2 linked regions of the Caenorhabditis elegans genome follow. The protein of the gene in region 1 purifies or fractionates together with the protein of each later gene. This does not show direct contact. Each region holds a gene or a part of one and is shown on either strand. Other genes may lie near its edges.

Region 1 (3,108 bases):
TTAATTTCTTGAAACCCGATTTTTCAAGAAAAAATGTTATTAATTTTGGTGAACTAGAGCTATGCTCAAAAAAGCCATCTTAAATTTGTATTTTTTGATATCAAAATCAGTCAGCATTTTTTTTTTGCATTATCCTCAGTACTTTAAAAATTGAGTTTAAAAATTTCTGATTGCAGTGAAATAATAAATTTAACTCACCCAGTTCCCATCGAATGACCCCATACAATAACAGGCGTCTTCCCGCAATTCTCCTTCAGCCATTCGTATACTGTTTTTGTATCTTCAACAATTCCTTTTTCGGTTGGTGTTCCTTCTGAATCTCCATATCCTCGATAATCGAAACAGACGACATGATAATTACAATCACTGAGCAAATTGTACATTTCCACACGATGGTAGAATGTGCGATCGAACGAGTTTCCATGAGCGTAGAAGATAATTCTGAAATTTATTGATTTTTTTTGAATTCATTCTTTGAAAATCCTACTGATTCTCTGAATCCCTCATCATATCGTCAAAATCTCTCTCTGTCGGATGTTTTCCTTCTGTTCTCCATTCTAAACTCAATTTGTTGGGCAGAATGTGCCAAACACCAATCCTTCCACTTTTTCCAGGCAAATGAAGAGATCTTCCGATTGATTTAACGTTGTTCGACGCCAAATCATTGTAATCGGTGTTCGGCAGACGTCCTTAACAAGGTAACATAGATCAAAGATAAAAGATAAGATAAAAAAGAAAAACTAACGGAAATTGAGAAAGAAGATGAACTGTGTGTAGCGTGGAAGAAAATATACCAGTATTGGAAGGAAGATGACAATTGAGAGGACTAGAATTGTGATACAGAGTAGTAGCGGTTGAATAAGTACACTGAAATTAAATTTTCGTTTAATAAATCAAGTTTTAAAATGTGGAAAAATGCCTAAATTTAAACTTACATAAAATAGCCTAGCATGATGTTGATATTTTGTTAGTTAACCGCTTCCATTCGAGTAGTCAAGTCACCTGAATGCATACAAAATGAGGTATATTAGATAGTGTACTTGAAAGTGAAAATGGAAGCAAAAAAACTGGAATTTCTTTAAAAGAAAGAGAAAAGTGGAAGAGAGAAGCAGAGGTATACACAATATACTCACCCTGCTAGTCACTTATTGATTTTTTCTCCTGTTAGTGTTTTGTTTGTACTTGATGACGGTCAGGAGGAGCGCCTGACCGCCTGACCGATTTATTTTTTGAAACACAAAAAACGAAAGAGGATAATTTTTCAACGGACTACGGTGGACAAGTCCGCAAACACCGCGCACTAAACTTGCGTACTTTAGGAATTTGCAAATTAATTTGGAATTTTACTCTTTTTTATTAATTTTTAACTTAATTAGCCTGATAATAGCTTGTTTTATGCTTAAAAATAAATCAACGAGCTGCAAAAATAATTTAAATTCTGACAACACAGCGCTATGCCCTTTACGAAATTTATTTGAACCGTTTTTAATAGTGCCACCTCGTTTTAGCACTTTTTCAACTCTTTTCCGCGTTCGCCAAATTTATTTTCCCATTTTGTTTGCAAATAACGAATTTAAAATTTGTTAACTCTCTCAAGTAATGCAATTTCTTTGTGATTAATATAACACTTAAATTTACCCTTCAATATTGCAATATATTGCAGAACTGCGAGTAAAAATGACAACTCTCCGGCCATTCGACGTTATGGATATGTTCAAGTTCAATAACGTGAACTTGGATATCAACACTGAAACGGTAAATTGCTCAGTAAATAAAAAAAATTTAAATATATTTATTTTTGCAGTATGGCTTCCAATTTTACCTGCACTATATGATGAACTATCCGGAGTATTACCAAGTTGCTGAACATCCAAACGGGGAAATTATGGCCTATGGTTTGTTTGAAAATAAATGAAACATAAATGTGAAATAGTTTAATTTTTCAGTCATGGGAAAAATCGAAGGACGCGACACCAATTGGCACGGACATGTAACTGCTCTCTCTGTGGCTCCAAATTTTCGTCGATTGGGACTAGCCGCCTACATGATGGAGTTCTTGGAACGTACTTCTGAAGCGTAAGTGATGGCAAATTAATATTTTATTAAAATCTAAGAATTTTCAGTCGTAGAGCATATTTCGTCGATCTGTTTGTTCGTGTTTCGAACAAGATCGCCATCGAATTGTATAAGAAGCTTGGATATGTCGTCTACCGGCAAATTATTGGATACTACACTGGAGATAGGGACGAAGATGCTTTTGATATGCGGAAGTCGCTTTCTCGCGATCCTGAAAAGAAAGCGATGGTTCCTTTGAATTATCTCGTGCACAGTAGAGACGTGGATTAATTTTAGATTGTTTTGTTTAGTATTTATTTATTGTTTAATGTTTATTGTGTTGGTTGTCTTGTCAGTTATGACAAATTATTAAATTTATTTATATTATTTAGATTTCTAGAATCATTCACAAATCAATGCCAGAGTCTTTACAATTGTATCAACAATTTGATCCACATTTTCACTATTCGCATCAACAGTGACGATATTTGATTCATCGGGACTCGGAAGTTCAAGTGTAGCCAGCTGACTATCAAGTAAAGTAGATGGCATGAAGTGTCCGGGACGGGAATTCACGCGTTGCTGAAGAACTTCCCTGCAAAAAATGAAACGATGAATGCGTGAAAATGTGTGAAAGTGGGAAAACGAGCGGACGGAAGCGAGTGCGAATTTGAGTTGTTTGTTGTCCATTTTCACTTTTCTGCCCATTTCTTTCACCACATTTTTTTGCGCGCTGAACATTACTTGCCTTTTTAAATTCAACAGAATGAAAACAGCTCTTCCGCTGGCTCCATTGGGAAGATGTTCACAAAGAATGGATCTATAACGTCTTTTAAGCGCAGAACAAGCGATAACGTATCCTTGATTGAGTCTTGCGTAGTTGTTAATAGCTTGAAGCCATGGAAGTCTATCAGAATCATTCAGTGGTGTGCCGGCTTTCATTTTCTCTACATTTTCAGGTGAATGGAAAGTATCACCATCTTTGAATGGCCGTCTGAGCTTCTCAGAAAGAGCTTTTCCAACAGTACTTTTACCGCATCCACTGACACCCAT
Region 2 (4,459 bases), on another chromosome or scaffold:
TTTTGCAGGCACTCCACTCTTGGCCGGTGGTGCCGGAGCGGCAGAATTGCTCTGAAAAGATGGTTGTTACAGTGGCCGAGAAATAACTCTTCCACTCACCTTAATCTTCTTTTGTCGTTTCGAGTTTTGTTGTCTCTTCGAGTTTTGCTTCTTGTCTCGTTTTGATCGTTTCGATCGCTTTGATCTCGCCGATTTTCCTTTGCCACCACGCGAATTCTCACGATGTCCGGTGGTACAGCCGACGGCAATGATCGCTCCAGAAATTGACGCAGCAGCAGCGAAACACACTGAAAAACAAGGAAATTGAGATAAATTGATATTTCCGGCACTTTTGGCAATCGATAATTACCGGCAACTGTCGCCATTGCCTTTAACTATTACGAACCGGCAAAATTGGATTTATCGGCGCTTAGCGGCAACTATTGTTAATTGCCGGCGACTATCAGTAATCAATAAAATTAGAGTTTCATTGCCGGCGGTCAGCGGTGACTATCGTTAATCGAAAAAAAAATCCATTTGTTACAAGTAATGGCTGCTGCCGGCCACTATCGGCAACCGCCGGCGACTACCGGCAATCAATAAAATCGGAGTTATTGAAGATTGTCAGCAACCATTATGACACTTATTGATTTTTGTAGACACGCCGGCAACAGAAGCGGCAATGCTCCGACAACATCCTCGGCGATCGCTCAGCAACCATCGGCAACTTTTCCTAAACTCACGGTAATTCATGGCACCATGGAGGTGCTCCATATCCAAGCTCATTGTGAAGAGTCGAAATTTCGAAATAATTGATTTTTCGCCGAACAAGATTTGTGGTCCCGTGAGTTGAGATTTGATTATTTGATAAGAAAGGTCAGCACGGTCATTGACATTTTTTTAATTTTAATTTTTTTCTTTTTAATATTTTTGAAAAATAAATTTTAAGTAAAATTTTAGATAATTTTTACAGTGGTCTCTTGTTGATCTCGGCTGGAAGAGGAGTGACGTCACAGATGGCCTAAGAAAATGTGGTGTGACCAAGTTTTCCGCCAATTTCTGTTTCAGAAATTTGTTTAAAAATTTTTTTTCTAATTCAACACTAATTTCTCCTCAGAAAATTCAATTTTTCCGCCAAAAAAAAAGTTTCCCAGAAAATTTGAATTTCTCGTCAAGTTTTTTTAAATCAAAAATTTGAATTACCCGCAAATGTTTTTCTTTAAAGATTTCAAGCTCCCGCAAAAAAATTTCTGAGAAAATTAAAATTTTTCGTCAATTTTTGTTCAAAAAAATTGAATTTACTCGCCAAAATTTTTGTTTCAGAAAATTTGAATTCCCTCCCATTAACTCAAACAATTTGAAATTCCCGCCAATATTTGCCACAGAAGATTTAAATTTTCCACCAAATTCCGTTGTTTCAAATTTTAATTCCCCACTAACTTTTGCTCAGAAATTTTGAATTTTTCTGAAAAAAATTTGAACAAATTTGGCATATCCCTTTAAAAAATATAGATGGCAGATAAAAAACTACAAAAAAAATTTAAGTCGATTTTCCCCATCTCTCCATTGGAAAAATCGATATTTCTATACCTAATAAATATGAATCCGTTGACCTCAAAATATTTGTTTTCCCGACTTCAGAGACTATCTCCCGGGAAGATATATCTTCACGGAGACGAGGGATATATCTTTCGATAGGTCATTTCTTCTTCTTCTGCTATTCAATTGTTATTATTCAATATTTATACACCGAAATGGCCAAAATTCTCTTGTTCCTTCTCTCGACTTTCTTCGTTTTTTCCATTGTCTCCGGGCAACAAACAAACTATGAAAATTGTCTCACGAAGCTCAACAAAATGAAGAATATTTTGAATAATTTGAAGCTGGAAACTACGAAACACGGCAAAAATGTGAAAATTGGTAATTTGGAAACATTTTATCATATGTGCATTGACACAACGGTTAGTTTTATTTTTTTCAGCAAAAATTTGAAAAATAGAGTTTCGAAAAATATTGAATTTTCAACAAAAAATTTCTGCAAAAGTAGTAGGTGGCCTAGAAATTCTGCGGCCACCGATTTCCAATTTTTCTCAAATGTAGTTTGTGAACATTAAATTCGTTTCAAATAATGCCAAAAAAAATTCCATGGGAGGCAGGCGCGGTTTCAGGGCCTGCCTTCATCCTGCCCGCCTCAGCCTCTGGCCTCTCAACATTTTTCTACACAATGGCGAGAAGGAATATTTAGCACATTGGCAAATTGCCGGTTTGCCGATTTGCCGGAAGTTTTTAAAGGGATTTTTTCATAAGACGGAAACACTTAAAACTGTGCTTTTTTGAAAATTTTCCCGTTTTCTTTAAATATTTTCATAGAATCTGCTCACTTTTCAAAATATATGTAGGAAAATTTATAAGGTACGTACAAATCTGCCGATTGAAATTGAAATTCTGAAATTTCCTTTAAAAAATTGTGCAAAAGCACAATTTGCCCAAAATTTTCGGCAATCTGCCAATTTACCAATTTCCGGAAAAATGGTTTGGTCGCCACAAGGCGGGCGAGGTAGGCTTCTCTGCGCCTGCGTGGAAGCCTACTGGATAGAGCTTCTGTGATCACAACCAAGAAGTGGGCGGAACGAAAGGCCACGCCCGTTTAACGGCTCCCAAAAAAATTATGAGCATCAGAGGCCACGCCCAAAATTTGGTACATCACTTTTAGTTTTTTTTTGATATTTAAAAAATTAAAAGTTTTCAGAACTGCGTAGAATCAATGGAAATCCCAGAGCTACTAAAAAGTATTTTGAGATTCGGAACAATGTTCATGAGATCCGCCTGTGAAGACTTGGGCTTAAAAGTCGGACCATTCAGTAAATGCATGGAAAAGGTACCTACAAGCTTCTCCGAAAAAGATCCTCTAGAACATTTTATTTCAGACAAAATTCGACGTAACTACTCTGAAAAACACGACGATTGGAGAGGATAAACCAAAGTGCTGGTTGACACCTGACGAGTTTTCAGAGCTTCAACGGGTTGTTCAAGAGCAATGCGGAGATGAAGCATGGGAGGATATGTTGAAGAATGAGGATAAGGTCAAAGTGATGACTTGTGAAAATCAGCCATAATGTATCCAAACGACATTCCGATTCGCGGGGGTTGATCCCCTTTTTATCAAATGAAAAGCACCTATATTGTGTTCATTGTTTTTTTTAACCTTATTTTAACTTTAACCGGGAAACGAAGCCCAACTCAGGATATGGGCGGACTCTCTGTATTTTTCGATGTATCGATTTCCTTTGTTTGGATTTCCGGGATCTTGGTTGAAATTATAAATGACCAGGACATTAAGAAAACATTGGCCATAACGATTTATTTTATTTTTAAAATTCTAACAAACTATCATAAAACTGTCTCTGTTATTTATTATAGTTATTTATTATTTATTTATTATTTATTTATTTATTATATTTATATATTTATTCCACAAATTCAATATGCGAAAAACGAACGAAACCCTGTGTGCCACTAGGTAGGCGTCTGCGCACATTCTGCGCCGATTAATTTCTTTTCTATTTATCGGAAAGTGCGCAGACGGCGTCAAAAAGTGGGGCTGGAGACCAGCCACAGCCCCAAAAGGAGCTCAGCCCCACTGTAGGGGCTAGCTAATAGTGCATCTTTATGTTTTAAATAAAAAGTGCATTCAAAATTTGCGATACATCCATTTTGAGATAGTTTGTGAGCTGATAGCTTGTTTTTAACGATATATGAAAAATTGGTCATTTTTTTCTGCGGCCGACTTGTTGAGATGCTTGCAGAGATTATCTCTAAAATGTTGAGAAGTAGGAAAAAGTTGTCATCTGGTCAACATTTAGTTAGTTGATAGCACAAAATTGCATTATATAAAAGTTTCAAAATTGCCTTCATTCTTCAAACATCTTCATTTCGAATTAGGATTACCTGAAATTTTGATTTTCAAGCTATTACTAGAATTATTTGAAGGCTTGTAGATCCTGTTGCATCCAAAATATTCACGAATAAAATTCTCATTATCCAGCATTTCTTTGACGGCACGGGGGCCGCATATATTTTCTATTGGCATTGTCTTGCATTCATTGTCAGCCTCGAAATACTCGCATGTTGGAAGTTGTGCCTAAAAATCATATATTTGTAATGCAAATGCGCTCCACAGCACGCAAAATTCAAACTTATGTAAAAAAGAAATCTTACCGCATTATTCCAATGGCTTAAGCACGGCCACTCCATTAATGTGATGGCATTTTGAATCTGAATTTTTTTTCAGTTTTTGTCTCTTTTAGTCTTTTTGGAATACCTTTGGAATACAATATCCAAACCATGATCCAAATGCGCCAATTCCATTACAAAGTTCGTCCAGATCCGTGATTTTCTTCGAAATTTCGTTGTCTTTTTTGTCGCAGTTTAGAGATTTTGTACAGCTCTGGAATATTGATTTTATTGGTTTATTTGATTA

Evidence for each region.
Region 2: the proteins of natb-1 (region 1) and Y23H5B.8 fractionate together in Caenorhabditis elegans (co-fractionation; one large-scale study listed by BioGRID). This does not show direct contact.

Annotation. Positions count from the first base shown.
Region 1 is NC_003283.11:7,981,987-7,985,094, reverse strand, and holds natb-1 (N-alpha-acetyltransferase 20), read left to right. Parts: upstream 1-1,663; 5' UTR 1,664-1,677; coding exon 1,678-1,755; intron 1,756-1,804; coding exon 1,805-1,895; intron 1,896-1,946; coding exon 1,947-2,076; intron 2,077-2,123; coding exon 2,124-2,346; 3' UTR 2,347-2,438; downstream 2,439-3,108. Other genes in the region: abhd-12 (Serine aminopeptidase S33 domain-containing protein), read right to left, coding at 199-441, 488-689, 746-867, 936-952; F26D11.1 (Gluconokinase), read right to left, coding at 2,458-2,650, 2,804-3,108.
Region 2 is NC_003279.8:2,545,602-2,550,060, reverse strand, and holds Y23H5B.8 (T20D4.11-like domain-containing protein), read left to right. Parts: upstream 1-1,661; 5' UTR 1,662-1,733; coding exon 1,734-1,940; intron 1,941-2,728; coding exon 2,729-2,857; intron 2,858-2,906; coding exon 2,907-3,095; 3' UTR 3,096-3,675; downstream 3,676-4,459. Other genes in the region: Y23H5B.3 (T20D4.11-like domain-containing protein), read right to left, coding at 3,908-4,120, 4,198-4,254, 4,301-4,426.